Linked DNA regions of Lepisosteus oculatus. The protein of the gene in region 3 binds, or shares a complex with, the protein of the main gene of each other region. Links are inferred from orthologs where the notes say so. Each region holds a gene or a part of one and is shown on either strand. Other genes may lie near its edges. The genes, in order: stx5a, vti1b and bnip1a.

Region 1 (10,962 bases), on a different chromosome or scaffold from region 3:
GCAGTGACAGAGAGAGAGGAGGCAGTGACGGGAGACTGGCAGTGACAGAGAGAGAGGAGGCAGTGACGGGAGACTGGCAGTGACAGAGAGAGAGAGGAGGCGGTGACGGGAGACTGGCAGTGACAGAGAGAGAGGAGGCAGTGACGGGAGACGGGCAGTGACGGGAGAGCGACAGGGCCGTGGCTCTCACCGAAGTTGTTGGCGTGCAGCGGGGAGGAGGAGACGGGCGCCTGAGAGAAGTGCTCTCGCCGGCTGCGCTGCTGCTTCAGGTTCTGCGTCAACAAGCAGACAGGAAGTCAGACCCTCACGCCAACAGGAAGACACCGCTGTCCTGACTCCTGCAAGATCCCCGGACTCCGGGACGGAACAGTCCGTCTCCCTACAGCTGCCCCACAACCCCCCTGGGGGGCAGCAGCCAGAGCCGAACACTGAGTCCTCCAGACTCTCACACATCCCCAGTCACCCAGTGACACCAACCACACCTGTGCCAGGTGTGCAACCCCGCCCACTCCAGACCGGATGTGATGTCACAGACTCCTCCCACCTCCCCCTCGCTGAGCTGACAGCATGGCAGCTGCAAGCCCACTGTCCAGCACGGTGCGGAAACAGGGGTTCCTTTCCCAGTACAGCCCCCCGAAAGCTGCGCTGTGGACTCGGACCCGAGTCCTCCCTCCAGGACAACACTCACCTCTGTTCTCACCTCCAGGACCGACTTGAAGTCGTTGGACATCGTGGCCAGCTTGGACTGCAGGAGCGAGAGCGAGAGAAGAGAAGAGTGAGCATTGGTCTCCTGCTGTGTCCCAGCATCCTCGTCCGCGGTCTCGCTGGGGCTCGGGGCATCCCGTTTCTAACCTGCGTTTCACCGGGGGGCTCACGAGCGCCCCCACGCGCCCAGCGGACTGGGCTGAGGGGGATCACCCCCCCCTCCTCGCTGAGTTTAACAACTCATCAGATTTTACGTCCACTGGTTTGTATGAGGCCGCTTCAGATCCAGCGGAGGCACAAAACGTTGACATAAAGCTTTTCTGTCATCGCCTCATTCTGACTCATGAATATTCGCCGACAGGCGGTGTGTTTTGTACGCTGAGAGACGCAAGTACTAAATATTCAGTATTCAACAGTGCAAAGCTCTCACGTACTGCCAAGTTTACCTTATTTAACCGACTTTGACCACTTTGGAACAAACCTGGTCATGTGAATAGAGGCGTTACCTTCCTCCCACTGCCGTTTTTGTGCTGGGACAGACGAGATGAAACGGATTTAGCGGCGCAAGACTCTGATTAAGCAATCTGTTGCCAAGTTTTCCTCAGCCGGGCCTGCTCAGCGTGAAGGAACATGCTGCCTCGCCGCTTGTGCGCAGGGACAGACCAGACGGCACCCAGTGGCCTTTTAAAATAATTCCCTGCAGACGTGCACTGAGCCACTGGAGGGGAGGCAGTAACAGCAGATGGCACTCAGACCCGGAGCCAGCGAGCGACGTCACACGAGGGTGCCCCTCGAACCCTCGCCCGCGCAGGCCCGCAGGCAGTGCGGCGGGTGGGACACGGCCTCTCTCCCTCCCCGCGGAGGACCTGTGGGCCGGCGGGCCGGACTGACCTGCAGCGACACCACGATGGTGTTGGAATGTGTCTGGATGTGCCGGCCGGACTGGCCGCCCCGCGACCGGACCAGGTCCTGCAGCTGGGCAATCTGCTTGTTCAGGCTGTTGATGTCCTGCACAAGGAAACAGAGACCATGACAGTCAGCTCCGAGCCCATTCCAGACACGGTATCCCCCGGCCCAGTCAGCTCCGAGCCCATTCCAGACACGGTATCCCCCGGCCCAGTCAGCTCCGAGCCCATTCCAGACACCGTCTCCCCCGACCCAGTCAGCTCCGAGCCCATTCCAGACACCGTATCCCCCGGCCCAGTCAGCTCCGAGCCCATTCCAGACACGGTCTCCCCCGACCCAGTCAGCTCCGAGCCCATTCCAGACACGGTCTCCCCCGGCCCAGTCAGCTCCGAGCCCATTCCAGACACGGTCTCCCCCGGCCCAGTCAGCTCCGAGCCCATTCCAGACACGGTCTCCCCCGGCCCAGTCAGCTCCGAGCCCATTCCAGACACCGTATCCCCCGACCCAGTCAGATCCGAGCCCATTCCAGACACCGTCTCCCCCGACCCAGTCAGCTCCGAGCCCATTCCAGACACGGTATCCCCCGACCCAGTCAGCTCCGAGCTCAGTAAGTAATACATCTGCTCAGCCACTTGCCTGCTTGATGATGTAGGTGAGCTCCTCGATCTCCACGGCCTTGTCATCGAACAGCGACTTCCTCTTGGCAACTGCAAAACCCCAGAGACGCGTCACATGACCGGCACGCACCACCGCCCTCGCAAGCTCACCCACCACAGCACAGCGGGGAAAGTGTGCTTACGTATCGTCAGTTTCTCCAGTTTGGCAAAAGTGTTGCTCAAGTCCTTCCCAATCCTCCTGTGGGCGAGAGACAAAGAACAGGGAGCAGAGGTCAGCGGTCAGCGGTCAGCCCCGCGTGTCCAGCCTGTCACTGACGCCTGGGTTTACAGTGTCCGGATGGCCGAGATCCGCGTGACAAGGTGGAGACGCGTGAAAGGCGGCGGTCAGCGAGCTGGAGAGCAGGGGACTCACTTGGCCATGATGGTGAAGTCGCTGCGTTGCTTGACCGCGCTGAGAGCCGGCTTGTGGACCTGGACTCCATTCTGGCAGAGCAGAGACACAGAATGAGCCTCCTCTTCCTCCTCCTCCTCCTCCTCCTCCTCCTCTCCCTCACCCCACTGATCAACCCTCTATACCTCTCCTATTGCCCTCTCTCCCTCCTCCATCCTCCCCCTCAACCCTCACATCTTCAGCCCTTCCTCTCCCTCCCCCGCCTCCCTCCTCCTCTTCTCTCCTGTCTCCCCCACCTCCCTCTCCTCTCCCCAGTACCTGTCTGCCCTGCAGCGACTTGCAGGCGGAGAGGAACTCCTGGGTGCGGTCCCGGCCGGACATGGCGTTGTCGGTGGCGACGGGGAGGGGGGGGGGCCCGGCAGGGGGGGGGCAGTCCTGCGCTTGCGTCTGGGAGGGTCCGAGATACACGCCCTGCTCTGTGCTTCTAGAACCGTGACGGCGTCTCGTATACATTGAGGCTCCGAAGCATCACCTGCCGGACAGGAGGACAACCGGGGGTCAGTGGACTGGACAGGACTGGACAGGCCCCACACCCCGCGCCGGACAGCGGGACCGGTCCCCTCTGCGCTGGGAGGAGGCTGGCGCCAGCAGCCTCTACCTCAACCCTGCTGCAGCAACACAGGAACAGTCCCCAACAAGACTGAAGGACACCTGGACAGACACAAGCCCTCCCACTATAACTAGAACTCTGTTCTACTGGACCGGGACTGGAGCCCCCAGTGTAACAGGACTGTCCTACTGGACTGGAGCCCCCAGTGTAACGGACTGTCCTACTGGACTGGAGCCCCCAGTGTAACAGACTGTCCTACTGGACTGGAGCCCCCAGTGTAACAGGACTGTCCTACTGGACTGGAGCCCCCAGTGTAACAGGACTGTCCTACTGGACTGGAGCCCCCAGTGTAACAGGACTGTCCTACTGGACTGGAGCCCCCAGTGTAACAGGACTGTCCTACTGGACTGGAGCCCCCAGTGTAACAGGACTGTCCTACTGGACTGGAGCCCCCAGTGTAACAGACTGTCCTACTGGACTGGAGCCCCCAGTGTAACAGACTGTCCTACTGGACTGGAGCCCCAGTGTACCAGACTGTCCTACTGGACTGGAGCCCCAGTGTACCAGACTGTCCTACTGGACTGTATGAACCAGTTGCTGAACAGCTGTTTTGCTGAAATAAATAAAATAAGCATTTTTAAATAAAAAGGTTTAAGAGAATAAAGTGTACAAAGAATCACAATTGACCTTTCTGTGTTATCGGCTCGATAAGCGTTAAGATTTAGATTTCACCGAGCTGGGGGGTTGTTATCTTGTCTCAGGACCGACTCCAAAATTTTCGGTTTCTGTTGAAATGAGAGGATAGACTCAGTCAGCACAACCAGCGCCCCGCCTCTTCCCACGGCGGATTGGCCCACCAACACGCTCATCACCGCCCCCTGTGGACAACGCTCTACGCTATTGGTTCAGCGAACGGGCCACTACCCCCTCGCAATCACGCCGGGACCCCTATTGGCTGTCCCCGCTGCCACTCCCCGCCGACCAGCTGTAACCTCAGCGAGCGGCGGTTGGCAGCGACTCGCGTCAATCAAACTACCCGGGGGCCCTCATTGGCCGCCTGAGACGTCAACAACAACTTCAGATGTCTCCGACAGCAGCTTCAAGCGGTCTTTAAGGCTACTATTAAAATAAAACCCCACACCACACACTCCAATCTGCACTGAAACAGGTCGCGCATTATAACCGAGAAAACTCCAGCCCCCCCGAACCGCCGACAGTGACGGACAGAGCAACTGCGGGTCACTTTCAGACTGTTAAAAGCCCCATCTACCCTTCCCGGATAAATAACTCGACATTTTAAAAACACAAAGGAACGGGTGTCGGGGAAACCCGACCTCCCCCGGCACCCGTGCCCCCAGCTGGGGAGGTGCGCACCGGCGGTTCGCCACAGGCCTCCTCTCTCTCCTCACCGGTATGTCCGCGTCTCTCTCCGGTTCCGCCGCCGCGCCGCTCCGTCTCCCTCCGCCGCTGCGTTTCAATCCGGGTCACTCCCCGGCCGCTGACGTCACAGCGCCACGTCTACCAGCGGGCGTGCCCCTCCTCCCGGCCTGACGTCATCGCGCCGGGGGGCGCGGCCAGGACAGGTGCGGCGTCACGGTTCCTGTTTCTCTCTTAGAGCAGAATTAGACCATTCACTTTCGTGGATTGAGTGTGGAGACTGGTTTGGTTAACCTTGATGCTCGTAATAAAAACGGACTGAGCGAGAGGGTGCAGGTAGCCAGCACAATGACTGGTGCACAACAGCTACAACTGCCGGACATCACGCTCGATCACACAGTATGATCCCTGACTGCCATGATCACCCGTCGCACGGTGATCCGAGCTCTTCCATCTCCTTCCAAGACTCAGGAGCAGTAGGACTGAGTCGCCGTCCATTCCCCCAGCTCCTGGCCTGCTCAGAGTGGACAGCTGGCTGGATGTGTGCTCTATTTATATACAGTATCCGTGTTTGTTAAGGAGCTCGTGTTGTGTAGAATGTGTTGTGGCCTTTCCCTGCCTGCGGAGCCCCTGGACGAGAAGGCCGAGTGCAGTAGGAGGAAGGCGAAGGGTCGGTCCAGTCCAGTTTGTCGTTTGTGCAATGAGATGGTGTCAGTAAGCGCTGATGTGCAGAGAGACACTGGCTGGGGAGACAGGACCCTCAGACTCACCGGTGAAGGCACACACACAAACACACAAACACCACACAGACAACCAACGTGTAGTTTCTCGAAAGGTGTGAACAGACCTGCTCCGAAAGAATCCACTAGATGGCGCTGTCGGACTGCATTAGAAGAGGCTGCTCAGAGGATCAGGGAGGTCAGACAAGAGCCATCCGGTCTCTCTCCCTGTCCCTTCATCTGTCTGTCTCCCTGTCCCTCCATCTGTCTCTCTCCCTGTCCCTTTATCACACACCACACTGACACACACACCACACCTGTTGTGCAGATCGCCCCTGCAGACTGGAGTCCCCTCTGTCCCTGTGGCCAGGCTCCTCGGACAGCGCAGTGCTGGCGGCGAGCAGCAGGGGGCAGTGCAGACAGACCCGCGCCTGCAGTTACGGACTCTCAGCTTCCTCATCACCTCCAGCAGCTCGTGGACGAGGGGCGTGTCCCCACGAGGAGTCAGTGTCTCCTGTCCCGGGAGACACCCAGCTGTGTCCTCAAGGGGCGCTTATTGCCCTGCAGCAGGAGCAGGAGGGGAGCACATGACCCTTGACCTTTCACCTCCCTGCTCCAAGTTCATGTTAAATTAAAACACAACACGACCGCCGGACCCCCGTGTCTGACACTGGCTGAAAACCGCAGGGGAGGGAGTGAGAGAGACCTGGCCCTGCCCTCTGCCCTGTCTCCCCCTGCTGCTGCGGACCAGACTGTAACTCCTGGCTGCCTCTCCCCTCGTCAGGACTCTCGGCTCCCAGGACAGCGAGTCTGTAAATATTATTGTCTCCCAGCGGCAATCAGGCTCCCCCCACCGTCCAGCCCCCCCAACGCACTGTTTTTCTTTCATTAGTGCAGGAAGTGCTGAGGTTTCTGATTATGACAAACACACAGCTGTCTGCTGTCTGCTGTCTGCTGTCTGCTGCAGGGCTCAGGTGTCAGACCGGGAGGACAGCCGGTCCGGTGGTTCAGGTCCAGTCTTGTTAGATATTCTAACATTTAAAAAATGGATCAATATGCAAATAGAAGAAATTAATCCAGAAACAAGCCAAAATAAACGGGATAAAGTTGAAAGACCACTCGGAAACACCTCATTTAAAAAATAAGATTTCCTTTAATAGCTTATATGTGACATATATTGTTAACATTGTTGTAGTACTATCTTTAGCAGAATATATATATATACTTTCATCAATATTGAGAGCTTTACTACACACACAGCACAGAGAGACGCGTGGGAACTCACAGCTGGACAGGAGGCACAGCAACAGGCAGATACAGGCTGGGGCAAGTCTGAACTGTCACCGCAGGGGTCTGGAGTCAGGAGTCTGACCGATTACATGGCAAAAACCAGCAGTCTGATCCGCTCCAGGTGTGACAGTGCTGTCAGACTCCCAGTGTGCAGCAGTCTGATCCGCTCCAGGTGTGACAGTGCTGTCAGTCAGACTCCCAGTGCGCAGCAGTCTGATCCGCTCCAGGTGTGACAGTGCTGTCAGTCAGACTCCCAGTGCGCAGCAGTCTGATCCGCTCCAGGTGGGCAGGGGTGTCGTGTGTGTGTGTGTGTGTGTGTGTGTGTGTGTGTGTGTGTGTGTGTGTGTGTGTGTGTGTGCGCTGCTGGGAGAGACCGAGCCAGCACAGGGAACCAGAGCTGCTCTGGAGAAATCCCACTTCTCATCCCCAACTTTCCCTTCGGCCTGGTTGGCATCGTCACAGTTGCACAACAATTTTCCATAAATGAAGAGCTCATTCCGCTCTGTTCATGAAATCACTCTGGGGAGCACCGGCGCCCCCAGCATTGGGAAACAAGAACAAATAATAAGACAAATGTAGACAATTCTAATAGTATTAAGATACACATATTGCACTCAGTCCTAGTGTGACAGAACAGTTTCTTCTCTCCCTGTCTCCGAGATCAAGGTGACTCTGACACTGGACCGGCAATCTCTGGACTGCAGGGGTGCAGTGTGACCCAGACTGGACAGTGATCTCTGGACTGTAGGGGTACAGTGTGACCCAGACTGGACTGTAGGGGTACAGTGTGACCCAGACTGGACAGTGATCTCTGGACTGTAGGGGTACAGTGTGACCCAGACTGGACAGTGATCTCTGGACTGCAGGGGTACAGTGTGACCCAGACTGGACCAGTGATCTCTGGACTGCAGGGGTGCAGTGTGACCCAGACTGGACTGGTGGGGTACAGTGTGACCCAGACTGGACCGGCGATCTCTGGACTGTAGGGGTACAGGGTGACCCAGACTGGACTGTAGGGGTACAGTGTGACCCAGACTGGACCAGTGATCTCTGGACTGCAGGGGTGCAGTGTGACCCAGACTGGACTGTAGGGATACAGTGTGACCCAGACTGGACTGGTGATCTCTGGACTGTAGGGGTACAGGGTGACCCAGACTGGACTGTAGGGGTACAGTGTGACCCAGACTGGACCAGTGATCTCTGGACTGCAGGGGTGCAGTGTGACCCAGACCGGACTGTAGGGATACAGTGTGACCCAGAGTGGACCAGTGATCTCTGGACTGTAGGGGTACAGTGTGACCCAGACTGGACCACTGATCTCCAGACTGTAGGGGTACAGGGTGACCCAGACTGATAGATAAAACACGATAAGCCCAACATAGATTAAAATAAAACAAATAAGAAATAAATATGTCCATATTTTATTTTCACATAAATAAACGTTTCAGTGCATATTTCATGATAATAAGGACTTCTCTGCCTTCTTTACTGAGTGTATTTACATGTGCTGGCGTCACGTGAGCTGTACTTCTGCAGTCCGCAGGTCCGAGCCGGGCGGAGCCTGGGCATTGTGGAGCCCGTCTCCGAGACGGAGGGTCATCAGAAGGCACGTTAAGGAAGCAGCATGCCGAGCGCTGCCTGAGCTGCCCCCACTCGTTTTGGGGGCACCGCTGCCTGTCAGGGGGGATTGGACAGCCCTGCCCTCAGCGCAGGCGCGCAGGCATGAGGCTGGGCAGCTACAGTCTCCTCGAGGGCCAGATGAAGGCCAATCAGAGACACTGCAGTACAAAGACACTGATGATGATGGACACATTTATAGATAGATATACATACATATAGATTCATTTCCTTAGGAAAAAAAGAAGCGTATTTTTTGTTTGTTCTGTTCATTGACATCATTCAAATGTGTCTTTCCAGTCCTTAGCTGGTCTGAAGTGTGCGAGTGTGTGTTGTGTGTGTTGTGTGTTGTGGTGTCAGTCCCCTCCCTGGCTGTAGAAGCAGGGGGCTTGTTTCTCTGGTGTTGCTCCAGGAGGGGCCCCAGGACGGCCGTCCCGCAGCAGCAGCCCTGTCGCCGGGCATCACCGCCTCCGGGGCTCACATCTGGAACACAGACAGCACCTGGGCGTCAGGGCGACAGGCAGCAGGGAGAAGAAGTCCTGCCCCTGATCAGCAGGAGCACAGGGGTCTGAGGGGTCTGAGGGGGTCTGGAGGGGTCTGGAGGGGTCTGAGGGGGTCTGAGGGGGTCTGAGGGGGTCTGAGGGGGTCTGAGGGGTCTGGTGGAGTCTGGAGGGGTCTGGAGGGGTCTGAGGGGTCTGGGGGGGTCTGAGGGGTCTGGTGGAGTCTGGAGGGGTCTGAGGGGTCTGGAGGGGTCTGAGGGGGTCTGGAGGGGTCTGAGGGGTCTGGTGGAGTCTGGAGGAGTTTGGGGGGGTCTGGAGGGGTCTGGGGGGGGTCTGAGGGGTCTGAGGGGTCTGGAGGGGTCTGAGGGGGTCTGGAGGGGTCTGGAGGGGTCTGAGGGGTCTGAGGGGTCTGGGGGGGTCTGGAGGGGTCTGGAGGGGTCTGAGGGGTCTGGGGGGGTCTGGAGGGGTCTGAGGGGTCTGGAGGGGTCTGGAGGGGTCTGAGGGGTCTGAGGGGTCTGGAGGGGTCTGAGGGGTCTGGAGGGGTCTGGGGGGGTCTGGAGGGGTCTGAGGGGTCTGGAGGGGTCTGAGGGGTCTGAGGGGTCTGGAGGGGTCTGAGGGGTCTGGGGGGGTCTGGAGGGGTCTGAGGGGTCTGGAGGGGTCTGGGGGGGGGTCTGAGGGGTCTGGGGGGGTCTGGAGGGGTCTGGAGGGGTCTGGGGGGGGGTCTGAGGGGTCTGGAGGGGTCTGGGGGGGGTCTGAGGGGGGTCTGAGGGGTCTAAGGGGTCTGGAGGGGTCTGAGGGGTCTGAGGGGTCTGAGGGGTCTGGGGGGGGTCTGAGGGGGGTCTGAGGGGGGTCTGAGGGGTCTGAGGGGTCTGGGGGGGTCTGGAGGGGTCTGAGGGGTCTGGGGGGGTCTGGAGGGGTCTGGGGGGGTCTGAGGGGTCTGGAGGGGTCTGGGGGGGTCTGAGGGGTCTGGTGGAGTCTGGAGGAGTCTGGAGGAGTTTGGGGGGGTCTGGAGGAGTCTGGGGGGGTCTGAGGGGTCTGGGGGGGTCTGGAGGGGTCTGGGGGGGTCTGAGGGGTCTGGTGGAGTCTGGAGGAGTCTGGAGGAGTTTGGGGGGGTCTGGGGGGGTCTGAGGGGTCTGGGGGGGTCTGAGGGGTCTGGAGGGGTCTGAGGGGTCTGGAGGGGTCTGGGGGGGTCTGGAGGAGTTTGGGGGGGTCTGGAGGAGTCTGGGGGGGTCTGAGGGGTCTGGGGGGGTCTGGAGGGGTCTGGAGGCATATGTGGGGGTCTGGAGGGGTCTGGGCTGGAGGGGTCTGGAGGGGTCTGGAGGCATATGTGGGGGTCTGGAGGGGTCTGGAGGGGTCTGGGCTGGAGGGGTCTGGAGGGGTCTGGGCTGGAGCGAATGGGCGCAGTCTGAGCCCCAAGAATGAGAAGGCGAAGGCGACTCACACAGGCCGACCGCGCTGCTGCGGTACCCCTCTGTCCCCACAGGTGGAGCCCCTCACCTGCAGGCGTGCCGGTTCAGGGTCCTGCCCTTCAGCTGGCAGCTCCGGGCCGTGGCGCTGCAGCGGCACTCACAGGTGCCCGGGTCCAGTACCCTGCGGCGGCCCACACAGGGCTGGCACTGCCTGCAGGGCAGAGAGGTCACTGCTTGACACAGGGGGACAGGCTCCCGTCTAGCAACTGCAGCCTTCAGGGGAACCGATCAGACTCCCAGTGCGCAGCAGCCTGATCCGCTCCAGGGCTTACAGTGCTGGTACTCAGACTGAGGCTGTCTGAGCAGACAGGACTGGAGTGTTCAATTTCATTTCATTTGTTAGAATAACATTTTCTATTCATAGGTCCTCTTTGTGCAAGAGCTAGTACAAGCTGAGCACTGGCAGCCCGGTGGCCTGTCCTGGTTCCTGCCTTCAGCATTCTTAACAGATACTTTTCTGAATTACAGCACTTAGATCAGCCCCTGTCTGGCAGGGGTAAGGGGTTACAGAGCTTTCAGGCTCTCAGAGATGAAGGATCTGGACCTCTGATTCAACCACAGATGGTACTGTAAATTCCCAGCCTGCTTTGCTCCTTGATAAGATGTTTCCACTCAATTCCAGAGCAGCAGGACTCTGGGAAGCTGTCCTGGAAATTTGGGAGAGGCTGATGGGTCACACAGGACTGATGTACAAGAAGGCCTCTCTGCTTGAGAGAAGAGGAATTTAATCTGCTGCTGTCTGTTGGAAAAAACCAGGACTT
Region 2 (10,846 bases), on a different chromosome or scaffold from region 3:
TGCCATGAGATCGCTCCAGGCTCTGCGTGGCCCGGTTCAGAGACTCTGTTCCCTGCAAGAGCAGGGCTCTTTGAGACTGCAGTTGCGTCTGAAACATAATAGACTAGGTCAGTGTGGATTCTAAAACATCAAATACTGGGACAGTGGCCCAGTATACTAGCCTGATCAAATTCTATTTTGAAATTTGTCTCTCATTTAAATGGACAAAATGTGACACATGTGAGAGCTATTCTCTAAACTTTGCAAACAGTAACTAGTTCCTGCAGGATGAAAAGAGTGTTAAGAATGAATTTCATTCTTGTACATTTCAAATAATAATAATAATAATAATAATAATAATACAATAAAATCCTAAATTGAACAGGTATAAAATCCGTTATCAGATAGTCTAGAAAGGTGAATATCTATGTTACATACAGAAGAAAGAAAAAGTTGAGACAGAACTTTCAGGCTTTCGTACTGGAGTTAACTCCTCTCCAGGACAGCTATGCTAGACTTACACTTTGCTCATTCTCAGCAGCAAAAACTCCATATCTGCCCTCTCCTCGAACCCCAAACCCCAAACCCAGGTCTGAGCTCTTCATCTCACGCTGCAGCTTCCCCAGATCCCGCCTGTAAATGCGGATCTTAGTGGTCATTGGGTTTTGAAAGGAAGGAGGAGCTCCAATCAGTTCTTTCTCCATCTCCTGGAGCTGCAAGTACATTTAAAAAATGTTACTTTACAAACACAGAAATCAAAAGTGTAGTATTTTTTTTTTACTTTGACCCATTCTTCCTTACAGCACTGCTTCAACTCAGTGATGTTGGTGGGCTTTCTTGCATGAACACCCCGCTGCAATGTTCTTCTTGGAGAGTGGTAGCTTCCTCCTTACTATCCTCCCATGCACACTCTTCTTGTTCACTGTTTGTCTGATGGTGAACACTGACATTAGCCAGTGCAAAAGAGGCCTGTAGATCCTTAGACGTTACCCTTGGGTTCTTTGTGGTCTCGTGGAATATTACACACCTTGCTCTTGGATTGATTTTTGTTGGACAATCACTCCTGGGGAGAATAACAATGGTGTTGAATTTTCTCCATTTGTACACTATCTGCCTGACAGTGGATTGGTAAAGTCTTTAGAAATTGTTTTGGAACCTTTTCCAGCCTGATGAGCATCCACAACTCTTTTTCTGAGATCCTCAGAAATCTCCTTTGATCGAGACATGGCATGTGTTCACAAACCTGTGTGGTGAAGACCAGACTTTGGTGGTGAAGGCTCAGGTTTATGTTTTTTAAACAGGGCAGGGCCCCCCAAACTCACACCTGATTGTCATTCCATAGATTGACACTCCTGAATCTAAATTATCCCCTTACCTGAACAGGTAATATTAGAGGTTCACATACTTTTTCCAACAAAAATCATTTTGATCAATAAATGAATAAAAACATACATCATTTTGTGTGTTACTTGTTTTACTGGGTTCTCTTTATCTATTTTTTTTTACTTAGATGAAGATCTGATCACATTTTAGGTCAAATTCATGCAAAAATTCAGAAAACTCTAAAGGGTTTACAAACTTTCTAGCACCACTGTAGGTAGATACATACAGGAAAATACTACTACAAATAAGTAAGTGTTGCTTGGCAAGGACAGATATGAAATGTTTCACAAATCTGCAACAAAGGTCAACAAACATGGGGGGGGGGGGGGGTCTAAAAGCCACTGGGCTAAATTCAAACATGGAATTAGCAAAGGACTGGTCCAGCACATTTGATTTATTTGGTTACAGGGGAAGTCAGATACAAGCCAAATGTAAAAGCAGCTCTTCAACTGTTCAATTAGTTGATATGGTGACTGAGTAAATTATAGAACTTATGGATCTAGCTGACAATCAAGATCTCCCCGGACAGCCTTAAAACCCTGTAGAGCACAAACATTTAAGAATGAAAATCCCACCTTATCCTTTCCTTACCATTTCCTCTGCCTCTCCTACTTTTTCATCAAAAACTCTCACATGCCGCTTCCTTTCCTCTGAAAGAAGAAAGGTTTTAGAGTTGTGCTCATAGCAAAAAGGTTCAAGTTGCATGCACTGGCATACCTATATTTAAAAAATGCTTGCTCGCTAGAACATCTCTTGTGACCCCAGCTAGGGATTTAGTGCTGTATTCACTACCTCACCATCCCTTACGTATAAAATATTAAATAAGTATAATATAACACATTACTGCTGGTTCCAAAGTGTCCTGTTCTTCCCTAAGTAACATTTCTTTCATATTCTAAAGCAAGTTGTAGAACTTTAAGCAGGCACCAAAGAGGCAGTAAAGAGGTTTTATGTTAAAACTTGTATAGATAAGCACTGAAAAGGAAAGTTATGTTGTACACAAGATTTACAAAAAGCATTTGATTCAAAATACTATTTTCAGAAGTTAAATCCCATTCATCCATTATCTTACTGCTTCATCCAATACAGGGCTGCTGGGGAGCTTAAGCCAATTTTACCAGGTGCCAATTAATCTACTAGTGAGTTTTTGGACTGCGGGAGGAAACTGGAGCTCCCACAGATAACAGACACGAACACGAAGAGAACATACAAACTCCACACAGATAGCACACGAGGGCCATTGCACTGCAAGACAATTTCCTAAATGTTACACCTATTACAAGTAATGTTTTAAAAACGTTCAAAAGAAAGAACAAAATGTGGACCACATATTCTTTGAGGTTCTTGTGTTTTATATGAAATTGGTGACAGTGGTTTAAAACAGTGAAGTTGGTTGCTATAGATGGGTTATCCTGAACAATTTAAAATTCCTCTGTACATTTTCTGTTTCTCATCAGAGGTCTGGCCTAAACCGCCTGTTCCACCCATGACACTTTTATGTCCAAATAAGTCATATACTGCATTATCAGCAAAGAATGCAACCTTATGTGAGTTTTAAGTATCAATCCAGATGAAGGCAGCACCATCAGGAGCAAGTCCTTACTACCAAACTTGTCTCTCGGAATGAACGGAACCAAAATGGGAATGAAATTAAAATTCTGATATCATTACAATTTCATGAGGTTTTCCGAGTTCAGGGCTTCTCTAAAAGAAGAAAACGTCAAAGAATTTTTGTTCCAGGACGTTTTGGATAAATGTTTTATAATTTGTAACGTTTGCACTGCACTTTATAAGTCTCTTGTTTTGTATGTTGCCGTTCTACAAACTGTACGAAAGTTTTGCATTTTATTGCATTTATTAGAATTGTGCATTTCCTACGTTGCTTTGTCGATCTTTATTTTTTTAATATTGAATATAAATTTACTTGAATATTTAGAGCGAATTCTGCGCTCTACTTGCACAGACACATTCGTAAGCCATTCTGTGCCTCTTCAGTGATAACAGAATCAAGGTAACAGCTCAGTTATTCCTAGTACCTTCCTGGAGCCTGTATTCATCTCACGACACCGACTGTCAGCAGCAATAATGATAATATAGACTTCTGACATTTATATTTCACTAAGGAGCTAGAAATCCCAAACGTTGAATTGAGGTAACGTTTTAAAATGTCTCGTTAATATATTGTGTTAGGTTTTCCATCGGAATATTTATCGAATGTGAAGTATTTCCAATTAATATTATATATATTATAATTCCAATGAATTTCTGGTATTTTATTGATTGAAATTCCAGTTCGACTTTCGAAGCCTTTCTACTTACCTCCATAACATCGGGACACTCGGTCTGGCATCACTTTTAGCTCTTCGAAAAGGGATTTATAAAACTCATGCAACTTTTCAAACTCTTCGGAAGACATTTCAGTATTTGTGTTTTGTTTCAAGGAACCAACCGCGTAATTCACCTACAAGTCAAATATAAGTACGTGAAAACAAAAGATTATCGGGACTCCTGGTAATGGTCCTTGCATTTTAGACCACTTTTCGTTGCCTGTTTTGAAGGGATTAACATTATAAGAAGAATAGGTACAATAATAACGCCATATATGCTACGTTATAAAACATGACATTATCTTAACTATTTTTTTAATTACAAGACTTGAAGTTTCCCTCTCAAATGTGTATTTTATAAAGGCTTCTACCAAGGAAAACTAAAGAGCAAAGCTTTATGGACAATGTAGTACTCGGAATGTGTGGGAATGAGCTTCACATGATTAGTGACCCTTTAAATTGTTTTATCTGCAAATATTACAGTATGCTTTCTAAAAAAAAATAAGTTTTTTGTTGTTTTGAGTGGGTATCATATTAATTGATTTATCTAAATGACATATCTAAATGATCTTTTAGAACAGTAAACGTTTCAACAAACCTATAGTGTCCCAAAAATCTCAGTAATCGTCCTCTAGAAAGCCGCCTTTCAAGACAAATTAAAAGATTCGTATACAAGTATATTTACGTATACTTTTATTTTAAATGGAACATCTTTAAGATTCTCTCGGGTAGTTACAGTTTTGTGCACCCAAAACTATGCCAGCTATCAACCTTGTAGACTTTAAACTTAAAAGCAAGTAGTAGAATAACTCGAGTAGAATAACTCTTTGTATGCTACCGCAAAGACTACAGCACTTAAGAGTTAATATTTTTCAAAGAAACGTAGCCTGATACTATTAGACGAGGTTTAAAGCAGAGCACATATAGTGTAAATATGTAACGTTTATCAGAAATATAACTTTACCTGTTGAGGATTTTTTTCCCAGACATTTTTTAGAACTTTTATTTTGAAAGCTTATGAGACTAGGAAGCTAGTTATTTTAAGCGACGCGAATGATCCGGAAGTGTATGTAAATAGCCGAATTTCAATCAAAATAAAAGCCTTCAGCTACCACAGGAGTATAGTATGAGGAGTATAGCAACATTAAGCTGAAACACCTGCTTTGTTATTTCTTCGTGGGTAACTGTAATTCCTTGAACATTCTGCCAAAATTTGAGAGGGTCCTTTTTAATTTTAAATCGTATCCACTAATCTCCAAGTTTGACAAATCTAAGATTATTAGAAGTTTTTATTAATTTTACAGCACCTTTCTTCCATTTATAGTACTGTAAAAATTGTCATTGTTATATTCTTTTCATAGACATGTTTTTTTCCTGTCCAATGAAAAAGGTTTTAAGATGCAAGCTTTTAAAGGAGCTGTATCTGAAATTTCTAATTAAATCAAATCATTTATTATATTTTAATTCAGTTTTTTAGACTATAATCAAGGGCAAAAACATTTTTTTTGCACCATCAAAAGTGGTGAAACATACAATTTTAAGACAGTCAGACAATAGCAAATCACCCTTTTTTTGTCAGATAAGTGGCTCTGTCAAAACTGCTGGGGTTTATAGAGCACCTCCCATTCCCAGACTGGGACCTCTTCAAAAATACCTCAGATCTATTCTACAGACCCACGGCTAATAGAAAATAACTGTGTTTTTTTCAGATAAGTGTTTTTGCTAATGTTACTGGGGTTTATAGGACCGCTTGCTGTTCCCAGACTGGGACTGTGCAGTGATGGACAGGGAAAAGTGTAAACAATAACCGTGATCCCAACCAAAGTAATGCTGACACTGAAGATCATAGTATTGTGACCAAAACCATAGCTGTGACACGGAGTAACCATACAATATAAAAAGGTTCTTAGACATAGAGTGGATGACTGGCACTGTTTTGAAAAGGCAAAAACTGTAATGCATCTGTAAATCATCCAACAGGTAAAAAACACAAAGGTGGAGTGTGACGCTTGCAATGAGTGGATTAATTTTGTTTGTATAGGTATGAGACAGAATGACAAAGATATTGATTCTGTAGGGTTTCTGTGTTGCTCAGAAAATTGTGATGTTAAAGCCACGGCATTAAAAACTGGGTTCAGTTTCTTGAACAAATGTGAAGCAATCAGCAGTGTAATACATAATAAGTTAGATGTAACCAAAAAAAAGTAAAATTGATGTATCACGTCAGCATTGGTGCTCAAACAGCGCTGGATTATCTCATTTGGGGGGCTTATTGTGGTAAGACAGACAATAAACAGATGGTTTCCCAGGATAGGGAGGTCGAGCTAAATGGTGACACAGAAGTGGAAAGTAGTATTGCATGTAGTGCATCCGTCACCCAAGGAAATTGTTCCTCATGTAATTCCCTCAAAAAGTAAAATGCACAGTATGTGCAGAAGTGATGTTGATGGTATGAATCTACATGGTAGGTGTTATGAGAAACCCCGGAAATTAAAACACGAGCACAGTGGTAATTTTCCAAAACCAGCTAAAATAACCAAGGAAATTTTGCAGAGTCGGCATGTATATCTTCAGTGTCATAATTAATTCAGTGGGATTAGAAGATCTCTCTGCTCATATTTATGATACCTGCATTTTCATGGGTAGTAGATAAAATAACACACTTGTCACACAGTCTATTTCCAATCTCAGAAGTCTAGTGTCACAACTGAACACTAGCAGTGTCCCCACTGTTACAGGTGCTGAGGACTCAGATGTTGATTTTGGATGCATAGAGAATGTGAATTCTCCATTTATTCACGATTTAAAAAAATGTACATTAAGGCAATGACAGATATAAACAGACAGGAGAACAAAGAGCCCAATGACTATTTTGGTTCAAAACTTGTTTTGGAAAAAAAAAAATCCTGTCGTCAATCTCAATTTGGACAGACATACTAATGGGTAGATTTCAGCAAGATGGATGGACTACATCAATTTCTGAGGTAAAGCTCAAAATGAATGTGTGGAAAGGTTAGGAACTCTTTACAAAGGAAATTAAAGGGAATTTTGTGATAAGATAAGACTGAATTTTTCTAGAATAAGTAAGTCTCCTGCCCTTGTGGAAGAGGAGGAATGGAACAAGAAAATTCCACAACATCTCAGGCATTCATTCCAAAAACCCCCTATCAAGACAATCAGACATTTTTAGTCTAAATGATACATGCAAAATTTATGGTCATCCAAATGATTACAACAAGCCACCTATCATTACATTCTCAAAAACAAGTGCTGGTTAAATTTTGTCATGTAGCGTGTTAGTAACATGAATGCAATGCAGACCAAAACAAATATTAAATTATTTTCTAAAGGTTTTAAGATTATGCCTGGCTGTTTACTGAATTTGGTCAAACCTTCCATCAACAACCTTAGCAGCTACTTTTCAAAGCCAGTGTTAGATGAGATATGTGAAGTAATATCTTCAGTAGATTTCAAGAGAGAAATTTACCCAGCCAATTTAATAATTCCCCTTATGTCCTGGTTTGTTTGTGGCCAAGTAAACAGTATTACTTCCCATGTAGACTTTTGCTAGAACTGTAGTTTCCTGCATACCGAAAGACGTGAAGTCAGTCATTTTTTGCTTGCACAGATAGCTGAGTTTTTCATGAGTTAATCGACCCTCATACACAAGTCTTTGCTAGAGAACATAGTCACACAGAATTGCTCAAAGTGTTAGCAAACAGTGGTCTGGAAGCAACAATTTAGCTCTTGTCCACAAACTATTGTGATTCAGATTCCCAGAGCACATTCCACTGCGAACTGCAGTTGGAATTGGAAAGTGTTGGTAAAGTGCAATGTACAATTAAATCAACAATATGCCATGAAGGAAAGTCTATAAACAGAGGTGGACATCATTGGGCGGTACTTTTGTGCATTGGACAGAAATTTAGAATTAAAGCAAATGATCAATACATCACAACACAGCCAACACATAGCATAGACCAAACTAATTATTGTGTTTGTTTTCTAGAAATAAGGGAGGCATCAGACAGAGACATATATTGGTCAAACCATGTACTCACTGTTGAGAATGCCAATACTCATGAAACACAAAAAAACCTGGAGCCACTGAACAGTTACATATCAACTCTACTGCATAGTAAAGAGGCACTGAAAGAGTCTTTGAATAGCTTGCAATCAGTGACAAAGAAACAGACAGCCTTACCTGTAACAATACACAAGACTTTCAAGACCCTTCTGGGATCTAAAGCTATTCAGATTTCCAAAAATACGTGTAGATGCCGAACCAGGTAAAATTGACATAGAAGTTTCGTGAGAAATTCTCTAATATTAGATTCTATCATCCAAAATTGAACCCCGGAGGGTTTCTTGCAGTTCAATGAGGTTTTTCCTCCCCCCTGTGCTGTGGAGAATTTATGTGTCCAAAGGATAATAGGCCAGACAGCTGAAGCAGCATTTGAATGCTGTCTGAGTAGTTCTACACTCAAAATAATAAAAGCTGATGTAATTTAAGAGAAAATCTGTAGTGTTTTAATACAGAACACTTACAAGGCATCTTTACTTCCCAGTCTTTCGGAACGCATGGGGGGAATCAATTAACAACTAGTACTTGGGCAACATGTGAGCCACCGTTTCCACATTACTGGATCAAATCAAAAAGGCTCCATACCATGTCTGTGGCAGAGCCACCTTCCCAGGAAAGATACATCACCATTGAAGGTCTATTCAATATTTTGGCTGTTTCAATACACTCTAATAAATTTAATAAAGCAGAATACCAAAGTTTGATAATATGTCTTACATTTACACTCCAAACAATTATCCCATAGACAGTAAGGAAAAAAGTGTGAAATTGACACTTTATTTCAAACCAGAAAGGATAATCCACTGGTGAAGTGTTAACAATGCCCACATTGTGATATCATGCCCTTCGAGACAAATCTAGTATCGGCCACTAAAAGACCCCTATAAACCCCAGCAACATTGGCAAAGGACGCTCATCTGGCAAAACCATTAGCTGAGTACTATAGTACTATTAGCTGAGGATCTGTAGAACAGATCTAAGTCACTTTTGGAGAGGAACAAATTTTTATTTGGTCGGGAGGGGAATGAGACCACTCCCTGTCCATCACTGCACGGTTCCAGTCTGGGAACAGCAAGTGGTCTTCTAAACCCCAGCAACTTTAGCAAAGACACATATAATGACAAAACCTCGGTTATGTACTATTAGCTGAGGGTCTGTAGAGTAGATTTGAGGTATTTTTGGAGAGTGCCCATCGCTGCACTGTCCCAATCTGGGAATTGGAGGTGCTCTATAAACCCCAGCAGTTTTGACAGAGGTGCTTATCTGAGAAAACCATGGTGATTTTCTATTAGCTGAGGGTCTGTAGAATAGATTGGAACTACTTTTGGAGAGGCACAGTTTTTTTTGTCAGGAATTATACTTTTCCATGTCTAGCAATGCACAGCTCTGTGTCAATTTGCAAGGAGAAAGTGTTATAAAAACACCAATAAGATTGCAAGAGAGCAAAAAAATTAATGAAGAACGGCAATTCCTTATTACCTGTGGGTCTATTTATCACATTCCACCTAGTTTTGAGGATGAACAAATTGTTGTTGTGACTATAAATGTGACTTTAACTGGCCCAGGATTATTTTTTATGAGGCAGGTTTTATGGGACTTTTATTTTGAAAGGTGCTGACAAGCCAGCGCCGCTTAATGTCGCTAAATTCACGCTACTCAATCAAAGTAAAAAGTCCTTCAGCTATTACAGTAACGTACAGCTGAGCAAAGAGCAAGAGTAGCGAGCGTGAAGAGAAGAAGAGATACATGTAGGTGAAGGGGGAAGGTTACAATGTTGACATTAATTGCAATTCTAGGTGTCATCGGAGTCCTCTGGTACTTATTAAGGGGTTACATCAGGTAAACGAGTGTCTTTTTTGCAGAGTTTTAATTCGGAGTCGTGATTTTCCCAACAGATGGGTGGATAACATTGATTTCTCATTTGTGATATGTACCATATATGTTTTAATTAGGTTGGACAACTGAAAAAACTGTCACCAAAATTATTTCTGTAAATGCTTTAGAAAGCACCTAAATAGCCAAATTCAGCTGTCCTGACACTTCAGTATTGTGTATCATTTACGATGCAAGGTCTTGTCTAATTTTACAATGTAGTAGTAGTAATAATAATAATAATAATAATAATAATAATAATTGCTTACACTTATATAGCGCTTTTCCGGACACTCCACTCAAAGCTCCCCTCCACCACCACCAATGTGCAGCATCCACCTGGATGTATTGTCTAATGATACGGTATCTTTACTATAATTATTTCAATAGAGTTGAAATTATTGTGCACTACACCTCTGTTCTGGCGTCTTCAACAGTTTTTTGCGAAAATAAATAAGCAAATACATGCACATATATTGTAAACCGTATGATTGGAATACCTGTTAAACGGCCTGTCGTATTAGTAATCGCCGGTAATTTTGTTTGGCGGATTAATAAAGGAATACAGCATCTAAAATTGAGAAGTAGTCATACTTGTTTCGCAGTGAGCAGAGTTCGTTTTTAACCGGGAAACCCTATCGGTTTAGGGCAGGTTAAAGATGGACCACATGATGAATAATTAACATTGACAATGTGGAACACTTTATCCTAGTGGTCAGGCTTCTTCAGTTCATTTGCACACAGCATTTTTTGATTGATGATCTGCGCTTTGGTAACTTCGTATCCTGTGTCTACAGATGACAGTTGCCACCCACGACCATATAGAGACTGTTGAAAGGACAATTAGCTGTTCACCACGTAGTGGTTGACTTATGGCTTTAACTCTTGCAAGTTTCACTGATAACTCTTGCCCATTATTGTGAACTCAGCTTTTGGTTAAGAACTTTGAGTATGGGATATAACTCTTTAGTTTATTAGGTCTACATAGAAGGACTTACATAAACGTCAGGTTGAAGACAAGTTAATATTTCTCATACAGAAAATGAGTCCCAGTCCCAACACACTCTTAATATAAGCAGTTTGAAAGCTTTGCTCAAGTGGCAGCCTCGCTAAATTCATACATCCTCAAGCATTTGGGTCTCTCTTTGTTGCACAGAAAACAGTTATACCAGATAGTTATTCCATACTGTATTAAACTTTT
Region 3 (11,266 bases):
GAGAAGTGGGCAGCCGACCTTTTATTACAAGGTTATGTTCCAGTGACTTGGACGTCATAAGTCTTTTGCCTTCAGTAGAGTTTTCCTATGGAAATCAAGTCTGCTTGGGGTTCTCTTCAGGTTGATGTACAGTGTAGACACGTCTGTTTTGGACGTCTCCATGTTATTGACTGTTTTTAATTTCTTATTTTATTTCATTTTATTGAGAAAGAAAAAAAAAGTACAATGTGTCCAGGAGTATTTTAAGGAAGCTCTGTCTTGTGAATGGTTTAAGCTAAATAAAAAACAATCTTTGTACTGTATGTAACGGAGGTTTGTAAGGGAGGGAAACAATCAGAAGCTCTTTGCCTCCACAACCTCATTTCCATTCACAAGTTTACGTATAAAATAGTTTTGCTTTGGCTACTTACACAGGCTGCACTGACAACCGATGCAGTCCGGCCTGTTTGAAATGATAAAGCAATTACAATTTTGTAAAAACAAAATACGATGTATTTGTCAAGTGTTAACGAAAACGAATTTGATTTCATTAAAGCATTTGTCAAATATTTTTCCCATGGGCTGTATGGCAGTATAATTATTGCTATTTTTCCAGCACCAGTAAAGTGTTCTTGCGGGTTTTCACGTTTAACATGATGAACGCAAGCTGTGCAGCTTTACATTTTAACCAGGGGACTCTGTGGCATTTAAGCAGTTTAGAAAATGGTTGTTAATTCAATGCCAGTACCTTCTATTTCTGCTTCCTCTATTGACCTTAAGAAACATATAAATATATATTCTAATTTTGTCAAAAAAAATACATCCTTAACAGAGAAAACAGGAGAAGTGTATGTGTTTATTTTTTTTTTAATTCTTATTTTGTACTTTTGGCATGCTTACAGTACATTGTCCAGTTTGTAGTGTATATGATAATAATGCTGACAATAAATAGTCTACTGTTGAAGGTGCACTATGCAGATTTTACTCTTGTGAGTAAGGCAGTACATTGCTTTAGTTTTTAACTTTCCATGTGTAGGAAACAGGAGCTTTTACCTGTTTGCTTTACAGACATCAAACCTAGTCCTATGGATATTAGTTTGGTCAATTCTGCAAATGACCAGCAAGGTCAAGAGACTTTGGCAGGTCTGACTAGACTTTAGTGTGTTTATTGAGAACTGAAGGCAACTCAAATTTGTTGGATGGTTTTTTTTCAGTAGATAGCAGTCTCATAATACATGCTTGCAAAATGTCTTAATGATGTTCAGTAAACTTCTGCTTCAAAAGCTTTTTTAACCAGAGGAATGCTGTAGCTGTATTTTGGGGGGTGAGGGGCATTTGTGAACATATGGACTCAAAAATGTGGATTCTGCATTAAACGTTTTATCCATTTTAAAATTACATACACTTCCCAGATTGAACCGCTCTTGTTACAGGAATCGTGTGATAGTACTTACGATGTAGTGTCACCTCTGTCATTTTTTGTCCTTTGTATCTCATCTGTCAGAGGTGTCAGTTTGCCTTAAGAGATACACGAAGACAGAATTTGTTCTCAAAATCAGACAGGTCTTGTGAGCTTTTTCTATAGCAGTGGCTTTGAAAGCAGGTCCTCCTGATAGAAAGTTTTTTCTGAACTCTAAGAATGTATTAGCCTTGACCCCCAGTCCATGTGCCCTTAATTCTGAGTAGGTGTGTTATATAGAGTGGCATTAAAAATACAATAAATTAATATCGTGACCAATACCATTTGTTGCATTTTTAATGGCACTCAGTATATTTCAGGAGATGTAAGTTACAGAATGCACATTCAACGAATATAGAAGGATTAAAGATGGGATATCTGATTTCTGCCAGCACAAGGAGAAGGCCATTTATTTTTTTATTAAATCAATATGAGTCCGTATGCATTGTATTTCTAAATCCACTAATTCAAATTAAAAGTACAAACACAATTTACCAGAATATATCCACTGCATTGCAGTGGGTTTCACAATTCAAACCTATTTTTAATACAACAAATTAATGCCTGCTTTAACAGGTGCCTTACTTAAGAGAGAAAAATGTTCAAGTTTTCTTATTTGATTGTTAAATGTTTGACATAAATATCTGATTTTGTGATTAAGCTGAGTTAGCCCATCATGCCAAGAATTTTGGACAGTTTTGAAGGAGTGTGGTGGCTTTCTGTTGAAATCTGTACTTGGTCTGTTTCAGGTACAGTTTTCACTAAAAGTTGACCCTCCAGCAGAATGTAGTCTTCCGTGAGAGGATTGATACAAATCAAACTAAAAATAGCAAAGATATGTCCAGTTTAACAATGGGTAAAGCAATCCAAAGAGTGCTGAAATTTTGATTCACAATAATTTAAGCATTTTTTTCCTCATTCACGATTTCTGTATGTTCTGTGGTTAACTTATTTTATTTCTGTAAAACTGATATTTTGTATTTCTTTTGTATTTATGGTCTAAATCTGTAATTTATTGCACAAGTTTGAATTTAGATTAAACGTTTTGCCTTTTGAATTCCTCTACCACTTTCTTTTCTCTAGTTTTCTTTTGTTCCCCCTCTTTCTTTCCTAAATCAAGCAAAAAACAAAAACTTGTGTTCTACTTTCCAAAAGGAATGTTAGTAAGGGGATGTGGGACTGGGACAAGCAGGGATGTTGAAATGAAGTCCTAATTTACAGATGCTTTTAAACGTATCAAAAGGAAGGACAAGGCTAAACCTTTCATTTTGTGTCCCTTCAAAAATTAACATATATATGTGCCTACTGACTCTGCATTTGACTTTCAGTAAATACGTTTCCGTATCATTTGCTGTCTACAGTTCAATTTTAAATACAAAAGCACCTGGCCTTTTGCAGCTGTTCACCAGTGAACAATAAAGGTTCAAATGGTAAACGACACAAAACAGGGTAGGCCTGTTGACTTCCGATTGAATCTGTAAATGCTTCTTAAGCAACCCTTTTGGTTCCAGACATGCATGGTCTGTCTTTTCACATTTTCTGCTGTAGAAGTGTTGGGAGGTGTACAGAAACCTCTATTGAAACAGTCAGCATCGATTTATCAGACCGCGAAACCCAAAACCGTGACCTGAACTGACATTTTGAACATTTTTAGTAGTGTTCTGACGTATAAACTATCTTGTCATGAGCACAGCTACGGAAATGAAAAGTTAAATCCGATTAAAATGCAAAGGGCTTCTTTCAGAGTAAATGTACTAGATTAAAAGGTTTTCACTTTACTTTGATGTGAAAGTGCAAGCAGCGCCACATCAGTAAATCAGTGAATATGAGAAGTCATGAATATCCCCAGAAAAGTGTTGCTCAGCAGCTTTCTTGATGAGCATCTTCACAGAAAGTAGGATTTCAAGCTGTGAAGTTCATAAAGCATTAGCATGGTGGTAGATGTGTAAGACCTTAAGCAGCTTGTTGTAAGATGATGTCATATGAATTTAGCCTTTTAATGAGGGTTTAATAAAGACACGTTACACTGAAGAGCTCAGACAGCTGGTTTTGTACTGTGCTTAATCTGATGACGTCCGTTTGGGTCACTCTTGTTGTTTGGCACACATCTGCTTATCAGTAAAGTGTCATCTCTGACCTCTCAGTACCTGACACCAGTGACATTGTACAGGGACCACCATACATGAAACTGAAATAAAAACTCCTCACAATACATGACATTGTATTTCTGTACCCGGCAATGAATTACATTTCCTTCCAAACTTTGAACAAAGGAAAGACTGATATTTAAGAATACAATGAAAGTAAAACCAAATGTCACAAAAAGGCTAAACTTAATTCCATACAACATTTTAAGACAGGCAATTTAAGTAATGTCCTTTTTAAAAATAAAACGAACCATGCCCTCACACAGACGCTTTTAACGTTGTATGGTACGTCACTCCTAGATGAATAGCATGGGGTTTGTTAATAGGTAGTACTGTTGTGTGTACTTCCCAGGTGTAACTTTGTATCTCATTAGGAAGGCTGTACTTCATTGCTAAATGCTCTGTAATAGAACTTTGGTGACATTTTAAGCAAATCTGCAGTTGTGTATCCTGCTGAAACTAACAATAACTTGATCCTACTAGTCATGTCTATATCTGTAGCTCACATATATGCCTGTTGAACACAATATCTAAACAGTTGTTATGTTTATGTTGTTTAATTGTTGTGCTGTTTTTTTTTCTCGAGGCACAGTTATCATTATTAGAGAAAAATCACTGGATAACAAACACCATGTATATGTACAGAAGTAAATTAGACTGAGTTCGATCTTAATCGATTTTTTTAAAGGATCCTTTATATGCGTAATTGTGCCTCTTGGTTTTCTCTTTCTTTATTCTTTTTTTTTTTAATTTCACCGCATTGTATCAGCCCGGAGTTGGTACCACAGTTGCTTGTAACCATGATAGTCTAATTCCATTATTGTTTTTAATACGAAAATAAATGTTAGAAACGATATTGCCGTTTGTGTTTTTACTGCTTTCTTTTAACAGTGTCCGTGCCCTTCCACATTTGAGACTTGTTCTATGTCACAGATCCACCAGTTGTGCGGTTTTAATCCCAGGTTGTGTTTCAAGCTGTTCCTTGCTCTATTGCGTTAAAAGAGGATGTCATGTCTGTCTGCTGACTTGAGTACTTTTCCATGCCTAAGAAAGAGGGACACCTCATTTCAAACCCACATAAATGCCATGAGAAATAATATACTGCACTTGACCATTATCCATCTATCTATTTTCTAACCACTTTATCCAATACTGGGTCACGGGGGAGCTAAAGCCTATCCCAGCAAACAACAGGCACAAGGTAGGATACTTGGATGTATCGCCAGAGACCACTGCAGGGCACGCAAAGGCACAGACTCAATCAAATTTTCCCAGAAGCCAATAACCTACCGGTATCTCTTTGGACTGTAGGCGGAAATCCATGTGAACGTGAGGAGAACATACAAACTCCACACAGACAGTGCCCCAGGAATTGTACCCAGGGTTCCCGGCATAATGAGGTGGCGATGCTAGCCACTGCGCCACTGTGCTGCCCTCGACTCTTATGCTTAACTTAAAAGAAAATATCTGAAAAGTGGCGAAGGCTTAATCAAATTATTATTTGAATATTATAATAAGAGTTATTGTAATAACTATTTTTTGCCTGTTTCTGGCTTGGGAGATTTTTTTTTCAAATTTCTGGAGCACCTTAGCCTGAAGACATTAGATATTCTTAGGAGGAACTGTATCCTTCAGGCAGTTAATACTCTGGCCATTTACTGTAGCTTCTAATTCCCTTTGTGTCTTTTTATGACACACCTTACTAGGACTCAAGTGAGGATTACAAGCTGTGTACAATTTCTGGAAATCGGTTAGTGTCATGCTTCTTTGCACTTCAAAGGAAATGGTGGAGCTTGGAAGGCAGACCTTTTGGCTTCACAAAGAGTGGCGAATGGCTTTTAGCGTTTGCTCGCCCTGTAACTGCTGCAAGGGAGAAATGAAACAGGAAGATCTGCAAGAACAACTACACTGGAAAATAACTTTTAGCTTTTAAAGGAAGAAGATGTGAAGAAGACTTGGAATATTCATAAAAGGAATATCCAAAAAAAGGAATCTCACATGGGATAAGGGATAAGTGACCAAGTCATCTTGTTGACAGACCATTCCAGTGCTGTAGCAGAATAAGCTGCTGTGTGGGGAAATATCAAGTTTTGATTTACTAACATTAGGGCCTATCGTCTCTTTATACAATTCCGTTTGTGAAATGTAATGGTGGGCAGCCACACCATCACCCGGCTCTTTACTGTAAGGTGAACAGGACACGGCAAAAACAGAGCAATTCAAGGCATTGATCTTTAAGGAATTAGAAAGATCAACTTTTCCTTTTCATGCTAGAGAATTATTAAAACAAAGAAGTGTCCATAGATGCATCGCAGACATGTGTACTGTATGTTTAAACATATACAACATATATTGCTGTTAGTTCAAACATTTATTCAGCTTTCAGAGGCATCCTGGGAACCAGAAACAGCTTTATGCGAAATAAAACTGAATACAAGTGGCTGGTTTGAAAGGGAGCTGGGCTAACCCCAACCACTGAGGTAAGCCGGCGCCAGCAGGAGAATAGGAGAAAGATTAATCAGATGACTTTTGTTTTGGAGGATTAGGGCGCCTGTTTCTGAGCTCAGAACGCAGCCTCCCTCCTCTGTCCTTCTCTGCCCACACCACATATCTGCTCTGGTGCTGGGGATTCAGCCAGTGTCACTTCCTCAATACTTACTGGTCACCTCTGCAGAAGATGTGACATCATTTTCCTTGAAACCAGCGCCCCAGTTTAGAGAGGGCTGGGGATGAAGGATGTGGCCGGTGGTTTTCTTACCTAATAGAAATACTTTATTGTTAACTTAGCTGACGTCCTTATCTGAGGCAATTTAGAATACTTAAAAATTCTACGTTAAGTTGAAGTACAAGGACAGCGAACATGCAAGCACAGTAAAATTAATAAGATTATGTGAAAAAGTCTAGGTTCAATACGGGTGCTGTACAAAACAATGATATAGTACTAAAATATATAGTATTTCACATATTATATCACTCAAGACATAATCCAAGAAGAACTAAGGATTTGCAAGTATGTGTAGAACTACACAATACATGCCAGCACTATGCATAGAGAGGAAAAATAGGCTTGCATTCTAACTGTGCTACTCTTAAGAAAACTTACAGCACTATTCAAGACATATAAACTGTCCCCAAAAAGAAAATATGCTTTATCTGGGAGCATGAATGCAGAAGAAGTTGTCATATGGAATTATGAAACACGGGTAATTAAAGTCACCGTTTCCTAGCAACAAAACGTGGGCATAATTCCCTGGCAGACTGTAATGGCTTTAAAACACGTTTAAAGGCATGGCACAGCATCATCTTTGTGAACAAAGTTGGAGGTACACTGCAACTGGAAGTAAAGTGTGGTATGCAAATCCAATTAAACAACGTTGTTTTTACTCTTCAGTTCACAAAGCGCTAATGTATTGCAACAGAAGAGAAATGGTTGTTTCCCTTAGCACGTCAAGGAAAGGAGGGGAAAAAGGCGTTTAGTTTGCCGCAATGAGCCTCGTGAGGCCCCGTAGTCTGCGTTCAAAGATGGCTTCCTCGCCGGATGTCCACGTCCGTATTTGTGGACAAGAAATAATCAAATATGATTTGGAAATAAAAGCCCTCATTCAGGTGAGAACGATAAATATATTTTATAATTATATATAAATATATATTTTAAATGGTGCTTCGAATCAGATTGTTTACATCTATTTATTTTACTTGAAAAAGGTTGAGATCCCTTCACACGTAACCGGCAAATGTAGTTCTACTTAGCTAGCTCTTGCAAGACGGGGTCAAGTAATAATATGACGAACTATCAATGAATTATTATTAAACATTGACTATATATTAAGTAGTTTCCACAATTAAAATCTAATCTCATTAAAATATTTTGAATATAAAATTAATTTGGAAATAACCCTATTTTTTCAGTTTTAAAAAATCATACATTGGCCAATATTGGAATATTTGGTTATTAGCCCCCTATTGAGGAATGTGTGTTGCACTCAGACACAATAAAGCATAACCGTTTACTGTGTTATTATACTTTTATTTGTGAGCTTCTTGCCTTTTTTTTTTGCTTAAGGATATTAGAGAATGTCCGGGACCACAGAGCAAGCTGACGGACTTAAACTCTCAAGTAAAACAGAAATTCAATCATCTGAGAATGAGGATACAGGTGAGTAAAAACCTTATACGTGAAAGTGTATTCAAATAACACAGCATGCTATCACTACGTATTTGTTTTAACGACTAACTAAGTTGATGTCTGTATCCGTACTTCTGTGGCACAGTTTTACCAGTGAGTCATTTAATACGCCTCTGAGCTCTGGTAAGATTTATTTCATATAGTGACCTGTCTTTGCTGTTTTTTTATTCAAAGCTCATTCATATTCTGACTTGGATGCTGCTATTGTACCCTTAAGCAACGTATTTAGACTACTACAGTACATACCCTGCTGGATAAATAAAAGAAGTTACAAATGAGAGGAAGTTATTTGGCCCACCCAGGGCCAATGGACACAATGTATCAGCTTCAGCAATATAGCAGGGCAGCTTGTTCCACACTCCCACCACCCTCTGTGTAAAGATGAGCCTTCTGTTCTCATTTTGATTTAATCTTTAAATGGGTCTTCTATAGACCTAACATGGTCAAATTAATTAACAAATGGCGATTGATCATTTTGAGGCTATATCGAGCCTACGACCTATACAAATCTACTAGGTTTATATCAGTAATTATCTACAGGTTTGCTACTGGCTTATGGTTAATTTGCATTAATTTCCTGTTTGGATATATGTTCTATGTTTTCAGCTTAAAGACAAATTCCCATAGGGTCAATAAAGGTTAAAAGGGTAAATGAATGACATCATGGTGGATATCAGCCCAGTTTCAGAACTCACAAGTAACGCAGAATTAACTAAAATGATCCCTGTGAGAAAGTATGATAAACTGTCGTTCTCTTCTGGGTTTACATTGACCACATTCAAAACTGAGTGTACAGAAACCAAAATGCAAGCAGTTTAGACTTAAAGGCATCAATTAGTGCTGCTGATTACAGCGCTCACTTAGATAAAAAAACTAGTCGATAGAGTGTTAGGGTTAGGAACCTCTGTTTTTTAAGATGAGTGGTACAAGAAGATGTGATTTTAGTGTATAAATACACATGTCGTGAAGATGGAGATGGTGCATGGCTCTGAGCATCAAAGCATCAGGCTTTGAAACAGCTTTTTTATCATCAGAGTTTTGGGGTTCTCACAGCTGCATAATGGATTTCCCCTCCCTGAATTCCAGCCTTTTCTTGTCAGCGCTGGTGTATCGTTGTCCATGTTTTCGTAGGATCTGGCGGAACTGGCTAAGGAGCAGGATAAGGAATCGGACAAGCTGGCCATACTGAACGAAATGGAGGGACATCGGAAACAGATGCTGAGGTGAGGTGGGAAGAGATTTTTAGAAAATGAAAAGTTGATCAGGGTATGCTAAGGCAGTGTTTCCCAATTCCAGTCCATTCCTGCCTTTTTTCAGTTTTTGTTTTTTAAATTTTTTCTGTCAATGAAATTTCAGCTCATGAATACTAAATCAGAATACTAAATAAGAAATCAGCATTTACCCTACACCAGAAACTTTTCCTTTGTTGTTTCATATGAGAAATCAAACAGGGGGTCTATACATCAGCGAGAATGTATATAATGCTAGTGTTTTACATTCTTTCCCATCTGTGTATGAACATCATTAAAACACCTTAGTTTTATAGAAAGCTATGTTGAAATGAATTTGAAAAAGTGGCCTTTTTCCAGCATTTCTTGGAAATGGTGCATACGAAGATGTTCTGCGTGTCCAAGCCCTGATGCAGATTCTCAGTCCTAAATTAGGATTTAAAATAATCCTGAGTGCAGAGAACCTTTGGAAGTCAAACACGGTGGTTAAATTAAGAGTTTCATAAAGCTGATTAGTCAGGAGCCCAGTTCTGATAAAACTGGAAGACATCTGGAAGGTAGGACTGCTACACATCTTAGTGCTATTTGCTCTCTATTTGAGAGAATAACTAGCTCTGTATAGGAGCCCAGTTTTTTCAATCTTGAACACAGCAGATTACAAGGAACTTGCTAGACAAAAGTTAGATAAAACTGGTATTCATTGGATTATTTTTAATAATGCAATAAGGGTCCAGAAACAATTGGAAATTAAGAGAGTATATTAGGACTGAGAATGGGATGCATTTTTTACACAAAAAGAAGTGGGTGTCCAAACTAAGCTCAAGTTATGTTTTCCATCCTTTAAGACATAACTGGGATCTTAGGGTCAAATAACTACCTGTACTAAGTGATGTAGCGCAAAATATTATGTACCTTGAGACTTGCCAGTTTTTATCAGGTGTGTGACATCACAGTTATTGGAAATATCGCATATCCATAACTTGGTTTCTTTAAGCTTATCCCAGGGCATAAAATAAAATTCACTGACATTTAAAATGAGTTTTAAAAGGATTGTAAGCTGCTCAGTTGTTAAATAACCTTCTAGCAGTGTTGATTTAGTGAGTACTACAGGTACTAATACAAAACCGAGGAAGAGCTTTTTTTTGTTCTTTTTTTTCTTTCATTCTTTCATTGAATCTTTTATATTTTAGTAATCAGACTGCATGGAGAAAGGCTAACTTGGCCTGCAAACTAGCCATTGATAACTGGGAGAAGGATGAGCTGCTACAGGGAAGGGATTCTTCAGTGAGGCAAAGGTAGGAATTACTTGATTGTGTAAAGAACCCTGGACAAAGATATATTCGACCCTAACGGATAGAGGCACTGTGTCCTGTTGAGAATGGTCATCTAATCATGAAATGCTGATCCAGGAATAAAAGCTCATACACCAAAAACCGCAGTTCATCAAAAACCACAGCGGTGCTAAAACCTTTCATTCACATTTGAAATATGTGTGGGACACACTCAAATAGACATTTCCATACAAAAATTTAGAATGTGCTTAAAAATCGAATATTTCCAGCAATACATAATTATATCTATGCATAGTTAATATCGTTATTTACTAGCATCCAAATGAGCTAGATGGCTCAAAAGGCCCCCTTTTACTTGTGACTTCTGCTCTCATATAAATAAAGGGTTACATCTTTGTATATAGAGCTGTACACTGTGGATTCCCAGTATTTGAACTGTTTCTGTTCCATCGTTTCTGTCCTTAGAAAGACAACCAAAGAGAGCCTTGCCCAGACCTCCAGTGACATCACGGAGAGCCTCATGAGTATCAGCAGGCTGATGTCCCAGCAGGTCCAGCAGAGCGAGGAGACTATAAGCACCCTGGGTGAGTGAGAGCCCCCTGTTTCCCCACCGCTGTCCTTACACAGCACCTGTCCAGCTACCGGTTACACATTCCTGACCATCAAGGTGTGGTATTGTGCTGTGGTGATAGCCCTGCCTTCTTTTACTTTTTGTAGAGTGACGACGCACAACTCACAGAGCAGAGCAGTCTTTGTTGTTCAGTGTACCTCAGTGTATGAGGGTCTATCCAGCATGACAGATACAGGAATACCAGAGTCTATTGCATCTTTGGTCAATGGCTGTGACACAGTTTGCAGTTATACAAACTATAACCAGACAGTGGAGCCACATTGTTATAGATGGCTTTGCTCAGTCTTTATGAGTGGCAATCTGCAGATGGACCATTATTGAATAAAGGCGATCACAAAGTTTA

Evidence for each region.
Region 1: bnip1a (region 3) and stx5a share a complex: the UniProt entries of both Homo sapiens proteins name them as parts of the SNARE complex. The link is inferred for Lepisosteus oculatus from reciprocal best matches to the Homo sapiens genes BNIP1 and STX5.
Region 2: bnip1a (region 3) and vti1b share a complex: the UniProt entries of both Homo sapiens proteins name them as parts of the SNARE complex. The link is inferred for Lepisosteus oculatus from reciprocal best matches to the Homo sapiens genes BNIP1 and VTI1B.

Annotation. Positions count from the first base shown.
Region 1 is NC_090713.1:23,126,347-23,137,308, forward strand, and holds the start of stx5a (syntaxin-5a), read right to left. Parts: upstream 4,727-10,962; 5' UTR 4,639-4,726; exon of another isoform or gene 4,604-4,638; intron 4,015-4,603; 5' UTR 3,917-4,014; intron 3,152-3,916; 5' UTR 3,133-3,151; coding exon 2,938-3,132; intron 2,712-2,937; coding exon 2,641-2,711; intron 2,467-2,640; coding exon 2,411-2,466; intron 2,319-2,410; coding exon 2,248-2,318; intron 1,714-2,247; coding exon 1,597-1,713; intron 746-1,596; coding exon 689-745; intron 273-688; coding exon 191-272; intron 1-190. Other genes in the region: vegfba (vascular endothelial growth factor A), read right to left, coding at 8,694-8,715, 10,230-10,352. UniProt on the Homo sapiens protein: Mediates endoplasmic reticulum to Golgi transport.
Region 2 is NC_090703.1:26,308,436-26,319,281, reverse strand, and holds the start of vti1b (vesicle transport through interaction with t-SNAREs homolog 1B), read right to left. Parts: upstream 4,739-10,846; 5' UTR 4,654-4,738; intron 4,134-4,653; exon of another isoform or gene 3,824-4,133; 5' UTR 3,779-3,823; coding exon 3,682-3,778; intron 2,013-3,681; coding exon 1,954-2,012; intron 693-1,953; coding exon 501-692; intron 89-500; coding exon 1-88. Other genes in the region: rdh12 (retinol dehydrogenase 12), read left to right, coding at 9,545-9,612. UniProt on the Homo sapiens protein: V-SNARE that mediates vesicle transport pathways through interactions with t-SNAREs on the target membrane. These interactions are proposed to mediate aspects of the specificity of vesicle trafficking and to promote fusion of the lipid bilayers.
Region 3 is NC_090706.1:27,785,881-27,797,146, reverse strand, and holds the start of bnip1a (vesicle transport protein SEC20), read left to right. Parts: upstream 1-7,074; 5' UTR 7,075-7,107; coding exon 7,108-7,191; intron 7,192-7,648; coding exon 7,649-7,741; intron 7,742-8,902; coding exon 8,903-8,994; intron 8,995-10,190; coding exon 10,191-10,295; intron 10,296-10,757; coding exon 10,758-10,876; intron 10,877-11,266. UniProt on the Homo sapiens protein: As part of a SNARE complex may be involved in endoplasmic reticulum membranes fusion and be required for the maintenance of endoplasmic reticulum organization. Also plays a role in apoptosis.